Linked DNA regions of Arabidopsis thaliana. The protein of the gene in region 3 interacts with the protein of the main gene of each other region in a pairwise test. Each region holds a gene or a part of one and is shown on either strand. Other genes may lie near its edges.

What was found. Proteins that work in one complex are often made in the same cells at the same time.
Region 1: the proteins of TBL36 (region 3) and AT1G08890 interact in a protein complementation assay, tested with the Arabidopsis thaliana proteins (one large-scale study listed by BioGRID).
Region 2: the proteins of TBL36 (region 3) and ABCB6 interact in a protein complementation assay, tested with the Arabidopsis thaliana proteins (one large-scale study listed by BioGRID).

Annotation. Positions count from the first base shown.
Region 1 is NC_003070.9:2,844,976-2,853,351, reverse strand, and holds AT1G08890 (Major facilitator superfamily protein), read right to left. Parts: upstream 5,204-8,376; 5' UTR 4,979-5,203; coding exon 4,847-4,978; intron 4,616-4,846; coding exon 4,553-4,615; intron 4,442-4,552; coding exon 4,352-4,441; intron 4,223-4,351; coding exon 4,163-4,222; intron 4,065-4,162; coding exon 3,999-4,064; intron 3,893-3,998; coding exon 3,827-3,892; intron 3,743-3,826; coding exon 3,667-3,742; intron 3,557-3,666; coding exon 3,492-3,556; intron 3,401-3,491; coding exon 3,308-3,400; intron 3,216-3,307; coding exon 3,135-3,215; intron 2,876-3,134; coding exon 2,791-2,875; intron 2,674-2,790; coding exon 2,630-2,673; intron 2,538-2,629; coding exon 2,475-2,537; intron 2,384-2,474; coding exon 2,324-2,383; intron 2,236-2,323; coding exon 2,182-2,235; intron 2,075-2,181; coding exon 2,015-2,074; intron 1,916-2,014; coding exon 1,801-1,915; intron 1,458-1,800; coding exon 1,336-1,457; 3' UTR 1,082-1,335; downstream 1-1,081. Other genes in the region: AT1G08900 (Major facilitator superfamily protein), read right to left, coding at 16-81, 183-242, 357-446, 574-636, 749-874; H2AXA (Histone superfamily protein), read left to right, coding at 5,676-5,882, 5,987-6,208; BON3 (Calcium-dependent phospholipid-binding Copine family protein), read right to left, coding at 7,214-7,320, 7,414-7,510, 7,600-7,713, 7,828-7,992, 8,146-8,283. UniProt on the Arabidopsis thaliana protein: Sugar transporter.
Region 2 is NC_003071.7:16,478,459-16,488,203, forward strand, and holds the start of ABCB6 (P-glycoprotein 6), read right to left. Parts: upstream 6,582-9,745; 5' UTR 6,370-6,581; coding exon 5,968-6,369; intron 5,642-5,967; exon of another isoform or gene 5,398-5,641; intron 5,264-5,397; coding exon 5,209-5,263; intron 5,095-5,208; coding exon 4,919-5,094; intron 4,806-4,918; coding exon 4,605-4,805; intron 4,031-4,604; coding exon 3,771-4,030; intron 3,674-3,770; coding exon 3,363-3,673; intron 3,248-3,362; coding exon 3,027-3,247; intron 2,935-3,026; coding exon 2,594-2,934; intron 2,425-2,593; coding exon 1,640-2,424; intron 1,541-1,639; coding exon 1,299-1,540; intron 1,021-1,298; coding exon 1-1,020. Other genes in the region: AT2G39490 (F-box family protein), read right to left, coding at 8,693-8,887, 8,964-9,122, 9,197-9,745. UniProt on the Arabidopsis thaliana protein: Probable auxin efflux transporter that contributes, together with ABCB20 and in a FKBP42/TWD1-dependent manner, to the regulation of leaf position and morphology, internode distribution, roots development, and inflorescence organization, probably by modulating auxin repartition.
Region 3 is NC_003074.8:20,081,836-20,088,967, forward strand, and holds TBL36 (TRICHOME BIREFRINGENCE-LIKE 36), read right to left. Parts: upstream 5,133-7,132; 5' UTR 4,911-5,132; coding exon 4,600-4,910; intron 4,414-4,599; coding exon 4,242-4,413; intron 4,157-4,241; coding exon 3,975-4,156; intron 3,818-3,974; coding exon 3,668-3,817; intron 3,587-3,667; coding exon 3,262-3,586; 3' UTR 3,136-3,261; downstream 1-3,135. Other genes in the region: AT3G54240 (alpha/beta-Hydrolases superfamily protein), read left to right, coding at 1-310; AT3G54250 (GHMP kinase family protein), read right to left, coding at 633-855, 960-1,084, 1,153-1,201, 1,301-1,458, 1,537-1,623, 1,889-2,033, 2,194-2,257, 2,341-2,539 and 1 more; AT3G54270 (sucrose-6F-phosphate phosphohydrolase family protein), read right to left, coding at 5,584-5,673, 5,770-5,816, 5,980-6,166, 6,320-6,610, 6,693-6,887, 6,985-7,086. UniProt on the Arabidopsis thaliana protein: May act as a bridging protein that binds pectin and other cell wall polysaccharides. Probably involved in maintaining esterification of pectins. May be involved in the specific O-acetylation of cell wall polymers.

The DNA.
Region 1 (8,376 bases), on a different chromosome or scaffold from region 3:
GAGAAAGTTAATTACCACATAACTAATGAGACCAACCCCAAACCCCAAGAAGAGTCGTCCAGTATTAAGCATTATAATATCCTACACATAATCACAGTAAATAACATGTTAACTTTTTAACACAAAATTTGAGTAGATAAATATATAGAAAGTTTTAAACAGGGAGATTTGGAGAAACAAACATGTGCAAACGCTACAGCGAGCCAACCAAAAATACAGCAAACATCTGAGATCCACATTGTCTGAGATATCAACAGACGAATAAATCAAAACGCATAAAGAATGACGTCATCATAGAAGATCCAAAAAAATTCAAAAGATAAACCGGAACCGGTCCAACAGTAATAACTAATTACCTGTCGACGACCAACGAGAGCAGAGATTTTACCGCTGAACACGGCGGTAATCATTCCTCCTAATGTCATTACCGAAGTGAAAAACGAATACTGGCCAACATAGAAGTAGACCATTCAAACCGGGTTACTGGTCTGGTTTATTGAACCGGTTTGAGAGTCTTAAAAGAAAAAAATGATTTTGATCTATATGATGAACATTGAACACAGGTGGGCTTACATCTGCAACGGAAAGTCCCAGTTCTTCCATGATTTTGGACTGAGCAGGCGACGAATATGACATCTACAAAGTATGTTATAGTTATGAAAATTATGCACGAAGAAATTAGGATTCTAAAACTGTAATATCCAAAATCAGTGGATAGCAAATTGAGAGAGAAAGGAAGAGATCTCACGGCGCAGCCATAACAGAAGGATCCAGCGACAACGACGGATGTGCTGAGAAGAAGACCAGAAGTGAAGGAAGAAGCTTCTTCTTCTTGCTTATTCAGAAGATGTGATTCGAGTCTTTCAGATTCCATCTTCTTTCTTTGATTCTTATCCTTAACTTTGAATAGTCTCTTCAAGCTTTTATTTGGCCATGCCTCATTGGTCGTTGTCACATTTGACTAATCTTTTATTAATTTGCTCATTCAGTATTTTGTAATGCGATTTAGAAAATTGAGTTGCAAGATCCAATTAGTAGTAACCAAGTTTTAAGTGGGGTGTGAATTTTTTTTACAAAAGTACATAATCATATGATATGGTTATAAATATTGGTACATAATCATATTATACGTTTAAAAAATATTGTTAGAATAATACCACATACAGTATATTGATTATTCTTTTTTCTGTCAACAAAATATATTGACAAAATTTATCAAAGTAAAAAAATTCGGAAATCCATATCCCCCCCCTCCAAATCGGATAATACATGACTTATAAATGTAACATAAAAGAACAATGTCTGGCATTGTGGAGTAAAGAATCAACTTTGGATTTATGAAAGTTGGCCTAGTGATTGTTGAATATCTTCAAGTGTTCGGCCTTTCGTCTCAGGCACCAAAGTCCATACAAATACGAATGACATCAGAGAAACTCCAGCAAATATGAAATATGTTCCTGCAAATTCCAATAAAACAAAATAACTATATAATCATTCTCTTTAATTTCATATCTAAGTTATTATATAATGAAAATATTAATTCGAGGGGACATTCCTAACATAAAATTCTCTAATCTTCCCGTTTTAGTATTTTTAATAATTTAAAAGATATATTTACCATGATTTGATTATACATAACCCTATACTCTTTAAACAATTTTAAGAGCTGGTTGTTTGTTTATTTATTTATTTTCATTTTATTGTAATAATTATTAAATACTGTCGAAATAAAGCATTTTTGTGTTAGATGTGTAATATTCTGAAGAAACAAAAATGTCAAATTAATGGATAGAAATTTACCGAAAGCACTCCATTGCATCATGAAATTAAAACTGAAAATGATAATCCAACTGAAAAACCAGTTTGACACTGTTACAAGACTACCGGCGGTAATTTTCACATTCACCGGAAACACCTGCCATAGATAATGAATAAATTGTTGTCCAAAAAAAAAAAAAGATAATGATTACATTATGAAATATTTCTAGTTTAAAATAAAAAAAAAAACAAATACCTCAGACATAATAACCCATGGTAGTCCACCTAGACCAATGCCAAAGGATAAGACATAACCCTGGTATATAGTATGACTTGGTTGATTAGTGTTGTGGTTTCAACAAAGTAATATATGAATTAAACCAAAAATAGTAATTGACTGAAACAAGATTGGCATTCACGTACCACTAAACCGACGATTAAGATAGGGGAACAAAACTCTTGAAAATCACCATGGTTCTGCTTGTGGGGGATAAATAATATTTAGTCTATAATAACCAAAAATCAAACGAAGTTACAAAGAATAAAATAGTTAAGATGACTAAACCTGAAGATAGTAAGAGAGGCCAATTAAAAATGAACATATGCACAGACCGATAGAAGAGCTCTGCAAAAAAAGTTTCAAACCACAAATAAAATATTTATCTAGGGAAATCAATTACGCAAATTATATATAACGAAGGTAATGAAATGATTACCATCAAAAGTGGTCGGCGTCCACATCGGTCGACGGCAAACATGACAATAATAGATTGCGGTACCTAAAAACAAGAATAAGTTGTAGTGAAAATGTGAAATACTATATTTTCGATTATAAAATGTTAAATACTAAAAAGACAATGTTTTGATTTACCAAAATAACTGCAAGGATGGATGTTCCTATGTCGCTTGGAAAACCTAAATACCCAAGACAATATATTCAAAAATCGTGAGATGAAATGCGATACAAAATCAAACAAGATATGACATGCCAATGATTTTTTTTTTTTTTTTTTTTTTTAAATCATGGTTTACCGGCTGTGTCGAAAATACGAGCAGCATAAGCACTTATCGCCGAACTCCCACAAAATTGTTGCAAGAGCATTAGGCCCAATCCAATCTAATCGTTTTCAACGAATTAATAAACAAACAAAAACAAATTAATCTTTATTTATTTCACTAAACAAGTTAAAACATTTTTTTCCGTTAGGACTTGGGAGTATTTCATTCATACGTATAGGCAGAATGTTAGATCTACATACGCATAAATACATGTCTATCTGTTTATTAAGTTGATCATCAATAGGTCACAAAACTAGATAAGAACTCGATCTCTTCTAAATTATTTGTATAAATGATAGGTATTTGATGAGACTTACGATTAACGGATGTGCGTTTTTCATATTGAACAAATCTTTTAGTCCACTTCGAGATTCTCTTCTAGAGGTTTCCACTGTTTCCTGTTTCACATTTTAAACCGAATTAATAGTTAACCAAAATACGTATATGTTAGCCAAAGTAGTAGTAGTATTTTCGGAACAAACAATAATACTCTGATTTCAGCTGCTTCTTCGAGAATATCACCATTTTCTCCTCTTAGCCTCTTCAAAGTAACCTCAAGCTCTCGTTCTCTACCATACATAGCCTAAGATGAACATTAATATGTAGACTGTACCTTTTAAATATAATATTACCAATTAAACAAATAAAAAACAAACTTTAAGTGTGTGAATTACCAGCCATCTAGGTGATTCAGGAATAAAAAATAAACATATCATTTGGATACCACATGGGATTGCACCTAGTCATAGATTGAAAATCAAGAATAAGTTAAATAATGTGAATTAAGTACACACATTATAATTTTTTATGATTTGAGATATAGTTCATTTAGAGAAAAAATATAGTTACTTAAAAGAGCTAATGTTCTCCAATGAAAAAAGTTTCCGGTGAAGAACATGAGCGATATCCCAAAACTTTGTAGAAGCTGCAAGTTCAAACGCAAGATAACAATAATAAATTAAATATTCTGAAATTATAAGCTGTTTGATATAATTTGTTTCATTCTTACTTGATTGGAAAAAGAGAATCCTCCACGAAATGCTTTGGGCGTAATTTCTGCTATATATACAGGAACCTATTTGTTTTGATCAAATCAAATGGTGTAAAACGAAATTACTATATCAACACTTTATAAAAGTAACAAATAATTTGTTTTCAAAACAGATGATAAAGTTAATTACCACATAACTAATGAGACCAACCCCAAACCCCAAGAAGCCTCGACCAATATTTAACAGCATTTTATCCTTGAAAATAAACCACAGCAAATGAAATGTTAACTTTATTAAAAAATACTAAACTTGTGAAAAATAAATTTAAAAGATGGAGATTTGGAGAAACAAACATGTGCAAAGGCTACAGCGAGCCAACCAAAGATGCAGAAAACATCCGCGATCCACATTGTCTGCGATCAAAGAGATGAACAAATCATAACGTGTATATTACGTCATCTTAGAAGGTCCTACAATATCAAAAACAAAAAAAAAAAAACAGTGGCATAATAACATTTGAATACGAAACAAAATTTAATTACCTGTCGACGACCAATAACTGCAGCAATTTTTCCACTAAACGCGGCCGTAATCATTCCTCCCAATGTCATTACCGATGTGAAAAACGAATACTGGCCAAAATATAAATAGACCATTATTTTAGTAAATTAGGAGTAATAATTGATTATCGATGTAAAAAATAAAATTAGTTATTGATTTGGTCACACACATGGATGACTTACATCTGCAACGGAAAGTCCCAGTTCTTCCATGATTTTGGACTGAGCAGGCGATGAATATGACATCTTCAAATTATGATAGTGCACAAAATTAGGCCACAAGTTGACATCAACTCAAAATCACATAATATTCAAATAACAATTTTGAGACAAAACAGCTATTGAACAATTACCAAATTCAAAACAGATTTTGATTAAAAAAATAAAAATTCCAATCTGAGGCATGTTAGTTGAGATCCATGAGGAACACTAGAAAACCAAATGAAAGAAAAGGAAAGAGTGATGATGAAATCTCACAGCGCAGCCATAAACGAAAGAGCCAGTGACAGCGACGGAGGTACTAAGAAGAAGACCACAAGTGATGGAAGAAGAGCTTCTTGCTTCTTCTTGATTATTCACCAGAGGTGTTTTCATACTTCCAGATTCCATCTTCTTTTGTTCCTTCTCCTAATTGCTTTTCCCTGTATTTCTCTGTTCTTTAATAGTCTTCACTCTTGAAGCTTGTATTTGGCAGTGACTCATTGGTCGTGTCCCATGTGAACAACTGTTATAGATATTTGTTGACTATATATAGTAAGATAATAGAAATCTCTTTATGTCGGCTATCGTATAAATTATTGATTTATTCTTGTTGCTTGATCAATAAAGGTTACATCATAGAACTAAAATCATATGAAACCGAATCGATCAACCCTGGCCATCTTTTAAATAACCATCAATACATTGGGATGATCAATCCACAATAAATGTATTGATGTAAATTAAAAATATGAACTTGTAACAGATCAAGATTCAGGGTCTAAAATTATAGAAAGCTTAATAATGGAGGACTATTTCACTAAAATCACTTTTCGTTTGTACATTATTTTCAAAAAGTAAAAGGAGATGTACGAACCATAGATCACATAATAATTGAAAGGGTAGATGATCTGCCACGTTGGCAATCCGTGTGATCTAAAGTCTAACAAATCACAATCAATCTTAGTAGCCTATACATATAGAGAAGAGCAAAACCCTAAAGCCCACTCATCTTCTCAATTCCCAGATCATCTACAATAGTCATTTCTCTTCGATTTCTTCAAACTCTCATCAAATCGTTTATCTGTTCTAAATTTCGAAGAAGACGATGAGTACAGGCGCAGGAAGCGGAACAACCAAAGGTGGCAGAGGAAAGCCAAAGGCCACCAAATCCGTCTCTCGATCATCTAAAGCCGGTCTTCAATTCCCCGTCGGAAGAATCGCTAGATTCCTCAAATCCGGTAAATACGCCGAGCGTGTCGGTGCCGGAGCTCCGGTCTATCTCTCCGCTGTTCTCGAGTACCTCGCCGCCGAGGTAATTTATTTTTCTTGTCTTCCAATTTGGTTTTCAATTTCGATTTGGTCACATCTGAATTGGATCTTGTACTGATTTGATTTTGATTTGGTTTGGGTTGATAGGTGTTGGAGCTGGCGGGAAACGCAGCAAGGGATAACAAGAAGACACGTATAGTACCAAGACACATTCAGCTTGCAGTGAGGAACGATGAAGAGTTAAGCAAACTTCTGGGAAGTGTGACGATTGCGAATGGAGGAGTTTTGCCAAATATTCATCAGACTCTTTTGCCATCCAAGGTTGGCAAGAACAAAGGAGATATTGGATCTGCTTCTCAGGAGTTCTGAGGTTCTTAGACTTCTTAGTTCAGTTCTCTTGTTTGGATTCGGAACTTGTAAAATAGACCCTGATGGTGTTTTTTGGGGATCAAATTAGGTTTTAAAGCTAAGTATATTTGGCTTTTGCCTAAGTATGTTTAATTAGTGAATGATATGATATTTCGGAACGAATCATGTATCAATGGAACTGAATTAATCGATATATCAACCCAGAAACATTTTGAAACACAAACTATGCATACTTGATTCTTTATTGCAGATACATGCAACTCATGGAGCCTAATACTAAACATTGCTTTGATCATGTTTCAATTTAACCAGACTCATTTTTTAATTCACCCAGGGAGTAAAACTCATTAGGTTTTGGGCCTAACTGCCTCAGTCATGGTAATCCTGAATTAACTTCACTAAGTTACCCTCATCTGTTGGTTCGCACCTGAATTAGCTCGCTAAATTACCTTCATCTGCAGTTTTTTTTGCTTACCAAGAATCGAGTTCTTGAAAATTGTTATAATAAAGATAAGCGCAGAACACTTAACAAAATGGGGATGTAGCTCAAATGGTAGAGCGCTCGCTTTGCATGCGAGAGGCACGGGGTTCGATCCCCCGCATCTCCAATCTAATTTTTCCAAAAATATTAATTGCCTAATTTTGAAATCATGTGTCAATTGAGAATCCCATGTTTTTTTTTGTTTTCCTTCGTTAATAATGCAAAGCTCAACAGCGTCTATCTGAAAGACGGCAAATAATTTAACATTTTCATATATTACCAACGTATCTACTTTGATGCGTCAGACCGTCAGTGGTTTATATCATGTTATTGTGATGCAAACAAGCTAAAATATATATACATTTCGCAAATTCTGTTCTGTTTTTTGTTTCTTTCTTTCTAACAAACCTTACGGTTTAAATCCAACCTAAGTAAATTGAGAACATGATGATAACTATGGTAATAAGGTGACACCAAAATAATTCTATGCAAGAAAAAACAGAGACTAGACTATGCTGCTGAACTCAAATTGCTGGAGCTCCGATCGGATTAATCTTTCTCGAACGGACATAGGTCAGAAACTGGCCGGGAAGTTCTTCTAGAAGTGCCTGCACCACCGACACTAGTCCACCTGCAACCCCACCAAATTAAACATTTACTACCAATCCAAAACGCATCTAAACACTTTACACTATCCGTTGTACATAAGGAATTTAAAACTCACTATGGATGTCTTTCATAGGGACAAATTGAACGATGTCCCGTGTAGCTATTCGACCAGTAGAACTCTCTAACCGCCGACCATTATCAGCATCAAGCATCTGAAATATTTACAAGGTCAAGTCACTGCATGTTTACTATTTGCAAAGAGACAGATATAAAACCTAACTTGACAAAACAAAACTTGTACCTCCATTTGTTTGAAGTCTGTGTTTCCCACACCGACGATAAGAACTGACAACGGGAGATCAGAAGCTCTCACTAATGCATCTACTGTACCCGCCATGTCTGTAAGGACTCCATCCTGTTCACACATCCATTTTTTTTGTCATTGAAGCTATAGATTTACTAGTAACAGATGCACATTCGATCTGAACTGGGCCAAAGTCATTACGTATCTGAATGTTCAGTCTCTTACCGTAATGATGAGCAGAACAAAGTACTTGGGACTGTTTTGTGAGAGTGACTGTGAAGCAGTATGAGCAGCCTTGTCGACCACATTGCTAAATAGAGTTGGTCCTGCTAGAGAAACATTGCGAAGAGCACTCGCATAAGCTACCATGATTCCTTCAACTCCAACAACCTGAAAACGAAAAGAGAATATGAAGCAATGTGAAACTTAACATGCAGTTTTGAGAATGCAATGTTTCATGGTTTTCAAATAATGGACACCAGTATGCACACAATATCAGCTCCAATAATAAAGGGAGATAACAGTTTCTGTCTCGTAAGTTACCTCGTCGCCATATGATGCTCCATTCAAGTTAAAAGCATGGGACACAGAACCATCCGATGTTCTTCCTCCAAACCCCCAGGCAGGAAACCGCTTATCAGAATCATAAAACTGGATGACCTCTCCTACTTCCATAATAGCCTGGAAAAAAACAGAAGCCAAATTATGTTTATACATACAATAGATCAAGGGAATCACGACACTGAAAGAAAAATTAATGAGACGATGGTTTTA
Region 2 (9,745 bases), on a different chromosome or scaffold from region 3:
AGCTTCCTGCACAACACGGCTCGACTCGGATTCGATAGATGAACTCGCTTCGTCAATCAACAGTATTGGAGCATTCTTCAGCACTACCCGAGCTATAGCGATTCTCTGTTTTTGTCCTTGGGTAAGCTCAACACCTCTCATCCCGATATGTGTGTCGTATCCGTGAGGTAAGCTGCTGATGAAATGGTGGGCATTTGCAATCCTTGCTGCTTCCTTCATCTCAGCTTCACTTGCATTGTGCCTTGCGTATATAATGTTTTCTCTGATCGTTGTGGAAAAGATTATGGGTTCCTGTTGAATCAGACCCATATGGCTTCTTAACCATCTCAAATTATATGACTTCAAGTCTCGCCCATCTAATAAGACCTGACCAGCAACTGGGTCGTAGTATCTCTCGATCAACGATATTATTGTGCTCTTTCCAGAACCAGAAACACCAACCACAGCTACTGTTTGTCCGCCATTGACTTTGAGACTGAAGTTGCTTAGTACTAACACTTCCGGGCGGGTTGGGTAGCAGAAGTCGATGTTTTTCAGTTCAATGCTTCCATACACGTTAGGCGGACTAAGAGCCGAGGTATCATCAGGTTCGATTGTAGGAACTCGATCTATTATTTCAAAAACTGAAGCGAGAGATCTACGGCGCTTGAGAATGTAAGGTGCTAATCCGAATGGCTCCACAAGAGCAAATGTAGCAAAGGAGAAGACCATGTACTCGGTTAGAGCTGTAGACAATTTCATATATCTGCGGTCTACTGATAACGCGGTGTACCACAGGAGGAGCGCATTACAGGCGAAGAGAAGAAACTGTGAGAAGCCAAACGCAAAGCCAATAGCCATCCCATGGAAAAAGCTCTGCCTGAGTATCCGTTGGAGTTGCAGTCTGTAGAGTTCCATCACCTTGTTGCCGGCACAGAACGCGACAACAGTATATATGTTTCTGACAGCATCCTCGAGTACTAAGGACGCCTTTCGATGCATCTCCTGGATGCCCTTTGAGAATCCAGCAAGCCAAAGTTTCTGGAAATTTTATAATGTTGTTAGAATTGCAGAACAGGCGAATACTTCCAAGCTAAGTGCATGAGGATAGGATGACCAAAATGAGGTATAAAGTCAAATTCACATCTTAAATCGCTACTTGAACTGGAAACCTTTTGCATAAATTAGACGCACATTTTGACTGAGGGAAGCATGTGACTACTAAACCGGAATCGGGAACAAAAAAAAAAACATAAGAAAATAATTTCAAGCGGTCTTCTTGAGGCTTTGTTGGGGAAGATTGAAGGAACAAAACAAACCTGGGCAATGGCAGAAAGAGTAAGTACTGGCAAAGTCGCTAATGCAACAAGGGCCAAACGCCAACCGAGCAGCAGCCCAATAAGAATGGCAACGATAACAGCAAAACTATCCTGAATAAATATGGAAAGCCTGTTGCTGAAGGCAGCTCGGACAAAAGTGGCATCATTTGCTAGGCGCATGGATAATGTATCTGGACTGTTCTCTTCTTCGTCATACCATCCAACTTCATTACGCAGCATTGCTATCACATCAGATAAAGTCAATAAGTTAAGTGAAAGTAGTAAACATGTAGTGAAGTGAGTTAACAGTGAGTTAACAATGAAGAAAAATATGGCAGTACCTGAGAACATCATTCGCCGCACTCTCTCAGTCATTTTCTCCCCCATAATACCAAAGTAGAAGTGCTGTAAGAAATTGGCAACAACTGTCACTATTCCCATGCAGGCAATGATCAAACACCACTTGTCAACCTCTTCACGCAGGTGGCTTCCCTTGCTCGTATAGTATGTCGTCACTACTAATGCAATAACATAAGCTAGAAGAGGATTGAAAGAACCAAAGATTGCAGCACCAATACTCCCTAATACAGCGTATAGCCACTCTGGAAAACTAAGCTGTGCCAACCTCCAAAATGAAGGTGGCTCCTTGTGTTGACCGTCCTTGGCCACCTTAACACTTGCTGAAGTGTCATCTGAGTGACCAAGAGGGCGGCTAAAAGTCTGTGAATGAGAGCGCTCATTTTGGGGATCTGATATCAAAAGGGGTGATATAGGGGACTCCGGATCTGAACCATTTGATTTCTGACGTTGTGGACACTGAATGTCAATTTTTGGTAATTCTGGTAACCGCATCTCGAAACTATCTTGTCTTTTGATGGTGGGTTCCTTCTCACCAACATCCAACGACGAGCCATTTTCTCCCAGTTTCTCTGGTGCAGGGCTATGATCATTGGGCGATTCTTCACTATTAAAGCACAATTCCTGGGAGCGGAAAACATTATGACCTCTCTGAAGAGATGGAGACTTAGCCATTTTGGGCGATGATGGTTCTTGGAAGCCACGACCAGCTGAAGAATCCCTCTCAGCCTGAAACGCAGCAGAATCGTTGTAGTTCCTAACTGGCATCCTGCAAGGCAACACGAGTTCCATAAACAAGTAGAATCATCAAAGTCCACCCTTCCATAGATCATTAAATCAAAAGCAGCCAAACAAAATTCTCAACCACATGGACTTTACTACACAACAGACTTTACAAGTTGTTAGATATGTATATGGTCTTGGCTGGAAAATCATACCGTCTGGGTAGCTTTGTTGCTTCTTCACACTTCAGAAGCTCAGCATACAAATTACCAAGGTTGATTAGTTCATCATGCGTACCCATTTCAAGTAGCTGGCCCTCCTCCATTACAGCAATATAGTCAGCATTTCTTATCAGACTTAGTCGTCGGGCTATTATTATGGTAGACCTTCCTAACATTAGAAGATCAAGGGCTTCTTGGACAACTCTTTCAGCTTCAAAGTCTAGTCCTCCAGTGACCTCGTCAAGCAAAAGAATTGTTGGATCTAAGAGTACGGCTCTAGCAATCGATAGCTTTATTTTCTGCTCCTCTGTCAACGTTAAACCAGTCTTTCCAACCTAGAGGACAAACAAGTCATTTTCAACTTCTAAAAATGAGAATAGCAACAAAAACACAATTCATAACTACAAACTTTTCAGTGGATAGTTACCTGAGTTTCATATCCTTTTTCAAGTGAGCTGATAAATGTGTGTGCATGTGCTTTTTTAGCTGCTTCCTCTATCTGATCCAGAGTAGCATCTCGGCCGTATGCAATATTCTCTCTTATGCTCAGACTAAGCAAAGCAGGCTCCTGTGTCACCAGGCCTATTTGGCTTCTCAGCCACTCTAATTTTAGATTTTTAATATTTTCTCCATCAAGTAGAACTTCTCCTGTATAAGAGAAAACCACAGATCTAATCAGTTACTAATAGTATCCTTCGCAGGTGAGTATCCAAAGGGGATTATTCAGAAAAACTGATACATCTTAAATTACACATCATAGTACCTAGTGTAGGATCATAAAACCGTTCCATTAGAGGAATGATACTGCTTTTTCCAGAACCATTTCTACCAACAAGTGCAACAGCTTTTTTAGCCGGCACAGTAAGGTAAAATCCACTCAAGATTGGAATTTCAGGTCGTGACAAATAGCTGAAATATACATTCCGAAACTCAATATTTCCTTGGACAGCAGACAAAATAATTCCCTCTTGATTAGTCCCAGAGGATGAACGACTTATCATCTCAAAAAGCCTATACGCCGCAATTCTTCCTTGATCAAATGAATAAAAGTTTGTAGCCGCTTGATTTAAACCCCTGCACAGCACAATATGAATTCAATTAGCAAACAGACACTGGAGAAAAAAAACAAAAAAGAAGAAGATAAGAGAGTAAAGTAGAATCGGAAGCTTACAGCCCACTTAAAATAACAGCAAAAAGGGCTGTTATGATCTCTCCACCATTTGCTCTATGATGAATAACAAAGAACCGACCAATCCAAAGTTGCATAGCACATGAACATATAGCAAGCCCATAAGTAAATCCAAGTCCAAGTCCTTGCACAAGACTAATCAATATACCATATCTCAGAGTTGCTTGGAGAGAAGTTGCATAAGAGTATTTTGCAAGAGTTTCATTTGTAAAGGCATACAAAGTCCTAACATAAGAGACTGCCTGCACATATAGAATAAAACCTTTTGAGCGTTAGAAAATATATTCAGATGCGATCTGACACTATAAACAAACCAGAATGAAGAACTCAAAAAATGGACCAGTAGGGGATGCGTTTCAGAAGAACTTGAACTCATAAGACTGACGTGGGCATGTAATTGCCATGCATCCAAGTCGATGCAATATCCAAGTTATGGATGCTAAGATTAATTATACATGAATCCTATTATAACAAAACCGAAGCCATGACTTGGGCAATATGTTGAGATGAATTTTAATTCACGATTGCAGTCGCATTAAACCAAGATAAGTAACCTAAACAGTCCGACCTGCCTATTACAATCTAACCCTCATAGATTCTGCCTAAAATTTTCTGAACTTAAACAAGTTTTGATTCAAATAAGAGTACTGTAAAAGATATCAAATTTTGCACAGCAAAAATTAACTTTGATGTTCACAAGTCAAAGAAGTCTCTCTGTTATAACTCTACTGCTTAAACATCATTGTCATTGTCGGAAACATGTCATTTAATGCTTGCAACAGAATTCGTCAATCAAATTGCGCGAATTTCTAATACCTGTTCAGCAATGCTGGCTGCTTCAGCATATGCATCTTGAATATTCTCAGCAAGTCTGTGGAGAAATATATTTGATATGCCTCCAGCAGCAACAATGAAAGGACCGGTGGCTAACGTAATGAGGGCAATTTCCCAGCAGTTGACAAAACCAATAATAAGACCACTGATAAATGTCGCCATGTTATGAATGTAATTCCCAACCTGTAAAGTCCAAGATCAAAAAGATTAAGGAAATCCATGAAGATGTATCATTCTTTGCAAAAATAAAGATATTCAATAGGAAACTTGAAACCAAATTCAAAAGTGAAACATACTTTTTCACTTAGAGCCGACTGAATAAGTAGAACATCACTCAGTACTTGGCTTACTATATCCCCGTTATTCCCATATGTATCAAAGAAACTCATATCCTGATTTAGTAGCACTTGGACGTACTTTGACCTGATCACAGCAGTCTGCCTCTCTCCAGTCAGTATCCAGCAAGACACCTCTATAAAAAAGGACAACTAATTATGGTGACGGATAATAGCATCATTGCATTAGAGGAAAGAAGGACACAACTAGATTATAATATATGTAAGGATTTTAGCAAAGGTGAACTTACCAATCCAACCAGATATGAAAACACCTCCAGCGATATATACAATGGTCAGCGAAAGCTGCACAAAGGGACTCAATAATTTAGACGAGCACATTATTTCAGGATTGTTGCCACTGTTTCAAGATTCCAGATAAACAGGTTTGCAAACAGATAAGACCTCGAATAAAAAAATGGACATTCAGAAGACCATACATAGAAATCCCTAGAGGTGAGAAATACGAAAGCATAGACTTAGAAGATAGGTTGTCTTCCTCTGAGCATGCATTTGAGTAAAAGAACACGTTTGATGATTCAAAGTAGGCTTCCCAGCTAAGTCAAGAACAGCTAGCTTCCAGGTTAATATGCCATCTTAGAAGCAAAAACTACATGAAAACTGGTATACTTAACTAGTCCTCCAAACAAAAGCACATAGGAATCATGAAACAGAAAACCTACTAACAAACCAACAAAGATATAGAGCAAAACAATCAAAGGATTTCACACTCTCATGTTAACTTCTTGAACTAATACATTTATGACCAAAGAGTGCCACAAAGTTTGTCGAGATAACAGACTTAACCTTAATGTGGCAACCCGCTAAAATTACAATCCAGCTCGGAAGGAGAAACAAAGTTCCAAAATTTCATCACTAAATTATATACTAAACTGAATCAATAGCTCCAACACCTAATAAATTATCCAAATTCCATATCCCCTGAAGCTCACTCAGCTAGGAAATTAGAAATTTTGAAAAGCCACAGAAGCGTATTCAAGCTGACCTACCTCGAGGAGACGATTGAACTGATCATCACTTATCAGATGATCCGAATCAGTGGGAAATGCAAGAACCTGAACAATTTTGGCGAAGTAGTGCAAGTAAACAATAAGCGCAGTACCATGAGCAGCAGCAGCAACGGATCCAAAAACCATAAGAACCCAATCAAAGCGATCAGCACAAGCAAATAGCTGAGAGAAAGGAACAGCAGCAGGAGGAGGCTCCATCTCCTCCGGCTCCTCCATTTCCTCCTCATCATCCGCTTGCGCCGCTGTTCCTGTACCACCGTGCTCAGCACCAGGATCAAGGTAAGGAGATGGAGACTCAGGAGGCTCGGAAACTTCAGAAACAGGAGTTAACGGTTGTATATGCGGCGGAGACCAACCAAACAAACCTCTCGAAATCATCATAGCTACGACGGGGGGGAATTATATCACCTCCGTCTCGTGAATTAAGAAACCCTAGCTTTAGAGAATTCTTCGGATTTTGAAATTTTCACCGGATCTGTTAAAAAGCTTAGGAAGAAAAGTCTTGGAATCGGCGAAGAAATCGTTTCCGGTGAGATACTTTTTTTTTTTTTTTTTTCCTTTTTGTTAGTTTTGATTTTATTTTGTTTTGTTTTGTTTTTAATTTTTGGGTTTTCGTGAATTATGAAGAAAATGGGTCAAAGAGTCTAAAAAAGTGAAAGACAGACAAGTCTTTGTGTATTTCTGTGTCATCTTACATAAAATTAAATTTTCTTAACACATAGTTTTAATTATTGAATGTGATATTTCATAATAATTAAAAATCAAAAAGTAACGGTCAACTACGGCGACGAGTTTTAAGTTTTGTTTTTTTGTTTCAGATATTCTTCGTTTATGTCTATTTATGCAACGATTATATTATGAGACTTGACTAAATGATATAAGTTGGGTCTAGACACCACTAGACCGGACCAGATTATTGCACTGCAACATTTATTAACGTCTTTGCGTCATTACTTTATATACAGAAGGTAGTTGTCGACAAATATTGAACTGTTTCGGAATCTTTTGGTAACCAATTTTGCTGTATTATTGAAACCTTGTATGATTCGTGCTCTAACCAACCCATGACAATGATGATCACGAGAGTTTCGTTTGATGAAATACTTTTATGTAGTAATTAGTCAAAGTTAAAGATTAATCACCATTAGTTATAAGATTGTAAGAAACTTGAGAAATGTGCGAGGTTGGTTAGTGTGCCGTGGAGAATGCAACAACAGCTGTCTTTGTTTCTTTCTATTTTCACTGTCAAAGAAAGAAGAAAGGTGCGGGTGATAGAAGAGAAGAGTGTTACCACATGTGAGATTAGCTTATATACCTAGTGGGGGCAGGTATGATTGAGGCAGCATGGAGCTTCTTTTTCTGCCAGTGCATTTGATCTGTTCCCTTTTTGCTCATTCTTACACTTTTTTTCTCTCTTTAGCAAAACTGCTCATATGATATAATTTGTTTGGAACTTGACCTTTATAGTTGGGATTATACGTTTTCAAAACAGTTTTACTGTTGACAGATTCAATGAGATAGCTTCTATTTTTCTTTAAATTGGGCCACAACGGGACAGTAGCCCAATTGACTTCATTGCTATAGAAGAGATTCGATTTTGAGTGAGGTTGTACTAGTTCTTGGTGGACTTATGAATGTCACTATAAAATGTGGTCACTTCTTAGATAGTCTGTTTAAAAAAACGACTGAGATCTTGTCATTTTAGTCTAGTAAAATTGTTTGTATAATAATATAGAAGTCCATAGATCGATATTTCTAAACTAAATTTGTACTATATGTTGTACCATGCAATAGTGTGAGTAATGAGTATTCTTGTGCTATATATCATTTTTCAGCATGTTTTATTACACGTGGAACTTGAATAAGTCTTTGTTAGGGTGTCCATTTGAAAGTTTTGTACCACAAGGCCTGTCTGAGCCATTTGGGGTTGGTGTAAAAATGTCCAGTATATTTTTGGCCACAAAATTATTGTTAATTAGAGTGATTGTTTTGTCCACGTTATGTGTCTTCACATCATCCGTTGGATGATATATAACATTTTGTTTCTAAACGTAATTGATTTACTTTAAAAAAAGAACTCAGAGCATTTCGAACTAATTAAGTTGTACTAAGTTTAAGAAAGTAATTCCTTAGCAATATTTTCCGAGGCAATTGTATTTTAACCAAGTCCAACGAGCAAACTTGATGATGTAATCAAAATGGTTTAGTTGGTTTAGCGTTAATTAATCGATTTAAAATGACCTTTTGATGAATTGATGCACGCTTTTCTTTCGTTGACAGCTGAAGTTTCCACACATGCATGCTTTTGTTGAACAGGTCAAAAAAAGAGAAGAAGACACGTACATGGTTTAAAAACGATACTTCACCTAAGCCAAATATTTGGGCATTATAGGTTTAAGTTGCAACTTGCAAGTGTGTACGAGAATTTGGATCCCTTATATATATACACATACTTGCGAAAATCAACTTGATGTTGTTTTAAGTAATTTATCATAGTAAGTACATTACAATAATACATACTGGTGAAAAATCTTTAATCTGTAAACTTGACGTAGCCAAATTTAAGTTCCGTTTACACGAGGATTTCTTGTATAGCAAGAAATGGAATATATCCACGCGTTAAAATGACAGCAGGTTAATTAAAGCATGTTCATACGTGTATCTTTAGACATAACTCTTTTGTCGTTTCCATTCCAAGCCGAAGTCAAGAAATTGAAGACAGTACAAGCAGAGGCTGATCGATACTGACTATCTCTTGTAGAGCAAATATCAGTTGATTCTTATCTTCTTCACTCTTGAATCCTTCCAATTTGACCACTTCTAGATCCCTTAGTACTACTCTTGCATGGTCAGCATTAACACTAACTTCTTCGTTTGAACTATAAGTATTTGAATCGATCTTACAAAATAAATAAAGGTATTAGCACGACGCAAGAACTAACAAAGTAACAAGGTTTTAGGTGTGTAACACTTACAGTAATGAAGAGGCGCTCTATTGATGGACAAAGTTTGAGAAAAGAGATCAAAGAATTAATTTGTTCTTGGTTCATCGAGTTATCGATCCACCGCAATTCTTGTAACTTGTAGAATTGGAATGATCTCCAAGATGATGATATGGACGGTTTGATTACTTCCTATTAACAAAGATAGTAACATATAACTTTCGAATTATCTTAGAACAAAAGAATTTAGAGACTAACTTTGTTACCTCGAACATCCATCTGCATAGTGTAAGAGATTGAGAATTCTTGATGGTCAGCGAGAGAGGACCGATGTCTAACGCGTTGTTGTAATAGCTTGGGCCTTGTGTTACATCGAAAACCGCCTTGGTCAAGTTGAAATGTTCATGAATCTTGATCAAAGGTAGAGATCCTTGGTAATGAAAAGTTTTAAGCTTAAATGATATGATCTCGAGGTATCTCAGCTTCGGGCATCCCGAGATGGACAAGTGAAGAAGCTTAGTTGGTGAATCAATAGTGAGAGAAGTCAATCTCTTACAACGACAAATCTTGAGGCTGTCAAGTAAAGAAAATTCCAAAACCATTGAGGAAACAACCTCATGGGTTAAGGAATTAACGGAGTCTAAACAAAGCGTCTTCACCAAGAAACCGCTTGAGTCCACACGTCTTGGGATCTGATCGTCGATCTCAAGACGCCAGCAAAAGCTCTCTTCTTTCTTAGAACCACCGGAGAAGAAGAAGCTCATATGCATGACGTTATGAGGTGCGAGAATAGTGGACACGAAGGTTGACTTGTC
Region 3 (7,132 bases):
TTACAAGAACCAAACAACACAACAAGGGACACACGAATCACTTGACCGAGACCTGATTGTTGGATTTGGGAAATGGAGTTTTGACCCTATGAAGATCGAGAATCCGTTCCCTAAGGGTGAAGGTTCGGTACATATGTGGCAAGGGGATGATGATCGGCTCGTCCCGATACAACTACAAAGGATCATTGCTCAGAAACTAACTTGGATCAAGTATCATGAGATTCCAGGTGCTGGTCATATTTTTCCGATGGCTGATGGGATGGCAGAAACTATCTTAAAAGAACTCTTGCCTATTCCTCAATCATCTTAAATTCAATTTTACATATGTTTAGATAATCAAAAAAAAAGTTGTACAGTTTGTCTCCACCCCAAAAAAATAGTATTGCTCTGTTCCTCATGAATAAATTTCATTTCATTTTATTTTTTTGCGTCTTTTAAAGTATTTACTGCAGCGCAGTAAAAAGATTTTTCTCTGGTAAAACAAAACCAATGAATTTCTTTTATTTGGAAATAGGAAAGCTAATAGTTAGATGACAACGTACCTGCACCTATTCTGCCACATATATCGTATCTTAAACTTGCAGTTAAAGGAGATGCTAATCATAATAATTAGTTTGAAGCAGAGAGAATGCTCACTTAGGAAGGCCTGTTTCAGGATCGAGAAGGGCTTGAGTTTGGTCGTGAAGCACGATGGGACCTTTTCCAGGTCTAGTGCAGATAAAATAACTGACTTCTCCTTTTTGATCCTGAGATCCAATGTTGTCTTTAATTTCAGGTGGAGGTTGCAGATTCTCTACACCACTTGCTCCATCTAATCCTGCTTCTTTTAGAATTGAATTATCGCCCACTACGTAACTGGTAAATAAAGAAACCAAAATCATTACAAACAGCTTTTTAGTCAATTTTAAAACTCATAGAAAACCGCAGTTAAACGGATCACACATTGTTCTGTGTCTCACCTCTTCATATCAGTGTCTGACTTAGGGGGAAAATAGTACAGAAGCCCCTGGAGCAATTGGACTGCGACCTTTCTGTTGCGTGCAATCAGTACAGCATTTGGACCAGCATCAAATGTGTAAGCAACCTGTACAGATTTACATTTTGAGTTATTAGTTGTTTTCAAAAGGTTGAGTCAAGACACTAGAACTTTACCTGTGGTGTCCCTTCAGAACGGTTCCACTTTTCAACTAAGCTAATTATTCTGGAAAAGCAGATAACAGTTTGATATATTAGAATAAATAAGGGTTTGATAACAAATAAACTGAAGCAGCATATAGAAATATGTCAAAATAGAGAATACCTGTGTGAAGTGTCATTCATGTAGAATATGGGTGGAGATGTATCCAGACAAACAGCATGAAACTGATTACTATCTGTACATGTCAATTGTGTAAACGATGCAAAGTCTCGATTTTTTATAGCTTCCTCCATTTGCAAAATCCGTTTTGGCACAACTTCCTATAGATAGAGAAAAAACAAAGGATGAAGTTTAATAGGTAATACAGAAGTTCATTAAACATCAAGAACAGAACGTACTTTTGCTCTATGCTGTAAAAGCAAACTTGTCTCAACACTTTCACGCATTCCGGAGGTACTGCTCGTTTCCTTCTGCCGTGAACTCACCTGTTATAAAAAGTTTGAATGAAGGCACTAAATTTTAACAGATTTCTGACCATTCGAACTTGTCCATAATGCTATATTCACACGTTGAAATAGAGCAACTCAAAATCTTGTCGTGGAAATACTTATTTATATATCTCGTTCAATCAAATAGTATGACGACAGTAAAAGTAACATATGGTTAATTTGAAAAACAGCATGATCTGGAAGATGGGAGAGTCGGAGTAATCCTGCCAAAAAGTCACAATATTTTTTAAAAGAGCCATACCACAGCAATGATGATAACAAGATCATCCCAATGCTTCTCATCTGCCAGTTGAACTGCAACGCTGTCACTTCCATCTTCTTTGCTTCCCATTGTCCACTTGACAAATCCACCAAATAAACTCCGGCAAGCACTTCCTGAACCTTGCCTACATGAGCAAACAGAAATCAAACCATGAATATCAGTACCATTTAATTCCTAGAGGAGTGTCAGATTTCACTTCACTATCACAACTCATGCATTAGTAGATGACTATACATAAATCAAAGCATTGATATATAGTGCAAGGAAGTCCACTACATAGGTACCTGGCTATTGCAGAAAGATGGCTTGGATCTTCATCTACATTCATCAACTTTGCAAGAGAAAAAACTGTAGGCAAAAAAAACAGTTTGACATAAACTACAAGCCATTCTCAAGCTCATAATCATCAACAGAGAGAAAAAGCAGAATACCTAGACAAGCAAATCCAGCAGCTGAAGATGCTAAGCCAGCAGCAGTAGGGAAGTTATTATGAGAAGCAATATGTAGATTCAATTTCTCCCAATCTTTCTTCCTTATCTTGATCCCCTTTTCCATGTCTTCAACATCACCAGCACGACCTCGTATTTCCCTCAAACAATTTTGGTACCTACTTCCAGAAAGAGATATTTCCTACACTAACATGAAACAACAACAACAACAAAAATCTTTGTAATTCGATAATTGGAATCTCAGCAAAAGGAGAGAGATCGTGATGGGAAATGAAGCGAGTGTACCTTGCCATTGAGCCACATTCGATCCCGATCAAAAGCAGGACTAACGGCAACAGTGGTGACTGTGCAGAGATGATCAGGATCAAGAGTTACGCTAATGCTATCGTTAACGGGGAGAATCCGAACCTCATCTCTCTTTCCCCAATACTTAATCACCGCAATGTTCGTCGGAGTTTGCGCCGTCACCATGAACACCCATTTCTCCGTCGCCATGTGAATCTCCAAAAGAGATCTGCAGCTTCAAAGTAGTTGAAAATGAAAGCGACGGAGAATACGACAGAATAATGATGACTCATTGCCTTTACAATTTTAAAAATATTATTTTATTCAAAAATTGAGAACTTCACTAACTGTAAAACTCTAATCAAATGGTTATTGCCATTTTGATGAAAACACCAAAACTTAACCTAAAACGTTTTAGGAAAAAAATTGAGTTAGGTAAGAAATAACCAAAACACGAAAATCATTGTGATGCATGAACTTTATGCTTAAAGGCCTTTGAGTTGTCTTGTCTTTGATATTGGGATATTTGTTAGCTGGGAAAGGATATGTAATATATAAACCACTGATTCATATAAGTAACACCATTGTTCATGAGTAAAAACAGACTCTTATTATAGCTCATACAGCATTGGTTAAGATAATTGAAGAAAGCATCTCATTCCAAATATCCGGGACACCGGGCAAGCACCAATGACTGCAATCTGATGAAGGTCCAGCGATACGATGGTGCTTCTCTTCCTCGTGCATTGCTCTCTTGAACACCGAAGGATGACCGTCTCTTCTATACGCAGACATTGTTGTGATATCGTATAAATACACTCGGTATTTCATTGTCCTTAGCACTTTGTTCAACACTCTTGACTGTTGAGGCACGTGGGGTTTGGTGGAAGAAGATAAAGAAGGCAAGGGATGTTTCTGGTTGTAGCACATCTGACCACTCTCTCTGCCAAGAATTTATGTACATGAATTAATGGTGTCCATTTTGTATATATGTTGAGATTAAGAGGAGAATATAAGAAAAAACCTCGGTGAGACAGTGCGGAAAATGACTTTTGTTTTGGATGGATCAAGATTTATCTCAACCCATTTAGCCCATGTGGTTAGTCCTCTCTCATAAGCAACCATTGGGTCCATAGCTTTGAAGATCTTATTCCCATCCATGTAATAATCCCACCTAAAACATCAATAGCTTGCGTTACTGTCACAAATCCCAAATCTGATGTAAAATGAGACACAATAACAAATACAATGAACATAGACGTCTATGAACCGTTATACACTAATCATTTGCTTTTGAAGGAAAGATGTAAGTGTTTATTCAGATGACTTACGAACTCCATCTCTGAGAGTGAGTCCACCAGTGAGCGGAATCGAATACAAGAACATCTACACCACGCCAATATCTAGCATTGTCTTCGATTGAGTCCAAATGTAACACCCTTTTACGGTCAACTCCTCTCTTGAGTTCCACAAGCAGAGGAGCCCAACAAAACTCAATTGATGTCTCAAAATCCTGTATAGTAACCAAATTTAATAGTTGCATCTACTAACCAATGATGTATATGTGATTCAAAAGGAGATTTGTGATTATTAATTACCAGAGAATGGAAAGACATCGTAGGACCATTGTAAGTGAGCTTCTTACGATGAGTGGGAAGAACAGACTGTACTAAGCAGACAAGAGATTCCCACTGGTTTCTCATCATTGAATCTCCAACCAGCATTATTCTTTTTCCTCTCATTTTCCCAAGAAATTTCAATGCGTCAAACCTAAACACCATCATGGAAAGAGCCACTATTTTGGTTAATATTAATGTCTCTTTCCCATTTTTCATTAGTCAATTTATTCATCTTGCAATTAACCATGCAAAGCCAATATAAACCAACTTTTTTACTTGATGAGACAGAAATTTTAAAAAGAAGTAATGTAAGAAGTAAGAGGAGTGTGGAGTGTGCCTTGGTAGTGAACAAGCCTTAGGGATCCATCTCCATTTCTGGTAATAAGAGTCGGGTCTTCCATTTCTTTGGCAACTTAGTGCAGAACTCAGATATGGACAGCTTGAATCATAGAGCGGATACGTTTCATCGAACGTCCATTTCCCCACCGAGTAATCACACCTCTCCTCTCTTCTTTCACGCCTCGTCTGCAAGGCGTTGAGTGGATCATCGTCCCCTACTAGCCATAACTCATCAAACTGAGACAAAACTACTTTGCCAAGGATGAGACACAAAGATAAGAACAAGACTCGAGTCTCTGAGGTAGCCATTTGACCAGGAAACTGAGCAGTGTGGGCTTGGAGAAAGAAATAATATAAAGAAGATGGGCAACAAAAAGTGGATAAAGTGAAAAAGGGCGTTAATTACGGAAAGTGGTGGTAATTAGTAATTAGACTTATGCTTGAAATCATGTCCCGTGACTTGCGTCTCCTCTTCTCTCCATCATATCATTTTTTTATAAAAACAGATTACAGTATCCAAGGCGGGATTTGTGAGTTTGGTGGAGCGTTTTGTATATGGTTTAAAAAATCGAAATAGTTTCTCAACAAAAACAAACAGAAATAGTAGAAAACAATCCATATAAACCAGAAAAAAGAATTGCAAATCAAACACAATGGTAGGTTTTGTAAGACTAAAGAAATGTAGGTTTTGTTGTAGAGACCCAAAACTCTCCCTGCCCTCAAAAGGTCATGAACAGACCAAATTCAGGACCCAACCTTCCTTATTAATAGTTTTAAGTTAACCCAAATATGTAAAAAAGTATTAATGAAACGAAACCAAGACATGGCAACACCTTCTTCAGCTTTTAGTATCCTTCATGCTTTATCAAACTCACACCATCCCCAAACAAACATAACACAAAACAAACACTATGCTCTTTGGTTAGCTTCTGTCCCAAACAGATGTCATCTTTAGTATGTCAGTCGAGATTAAGATAATCCTTTAGAAAATCCATTTTTCTTGATCATCTGAAGAAGATTCATCTAACCATGATTGGTGGATGTGCATCCACGTCAGCCTTTGCTTTTCCTCCTTTCAATTTTAACCCATTTTCAGTTATTTTTTTCCAATATTATTTAACCAATCTAATCGTTTGAAATCTTAAAAGGATCATAAATCAAGGTTTACCTTATAACTCAGTAAGACTTTTGTTGAACAAGACCGTACTTTTCCCTCTGTAAACACGAGCTAGACATTAGAACATGGAAGCAAACTTCTACAGTATACCCTTATGATGAGAAATCAAACAAATCAGTTGATCGTATTTTCTGCTAAATCATTTCCTAGCTCGATAAGTCACAAGTATAAGCCATGTAATTGAAGAACAAGATTTCTTACCAGATAACTCATGCTTTACAAATTTTGCAAGCCATGTATCTGAACTGATATGAGAAGACGTAACATTATCCAACCAAATGCGAAACTTCTTTTCCTTCCCATCACCGTATAAATTTTCCATCTCATCTATCCATTCATGTATCGGTTTCTCCACTCCAGACGGATGAACAAAAATACCAAGTGGACTCTGAAACATTGCAAAAGCATAACAATTACGTCAACTAATAAGTCTACACAACACAAGCAATCAAGAACATCTTCAAAATTATCAATTTGAGCACTTGAATTTCCATTACGTTAGATGCTAGAGAGCTTTTTTTTGTCAAATAAACACACTTACAGAGAGCGATTTCAAATTCTGCAAGTACTTGTCAGACTTTTCCACCTCTCCACAACGCCATCTCTCATAAAACAAATAAAACTGAACAACCTCATGAGCAGGATTCAAACTTTCCCCATGGAAATTTTCAGTGTCCATAACATCTCTAGGAGAGACATTTGGTCCCAAATTAAACCTCTGAATAGCTTCTATCATACCAGCTCCACACCTCTCAGACGCATGAAATATTTTTGGGTTGTCCTTTGCATTTTCTTCATACCATTGCAATAATTCTTCATGCGAATTGCTAACCTTAAACAGTAAAAATATAAGCACAATCACTCACGCGTAGTCAAGTATGATCGAACCTAAAAAAAAGTAGTTGGGAACTAACCATTACGCCATATACGTCAGAAATGTTGAAAAGCTCAGCATCATTTCCAGAGTCACCACAAACAAGTGTGTTAGAAGGCTGCTTGCCTTCAATATCCAACTTGTCAAGTAGATATGTCAAAGCACCTTGTTTGCCAGCTCCTCTTGGTAATACATCAAAAGCATATCCATTACTATAAACCAGCTTCACATCCACCTATAATGAATTTTACTGTCATCAGCACCAAAAGTAACAATCTATGATAAGAATGTAGCCATCAAGCTCACATAAAGAGTACACACAAAAATCTCACCCCACGCTCCTCTAATATCCCTGGAAGAACCTTCATTATTTCAACAGCGTCTTCTCTTCCCACGAAAAAACTCACTTTGTGCTCTTCTTGGCTCTTGTCTGGCTATCATAGACAACACACAGAAAAAAAAAAAAAAAGAGATTTAGAA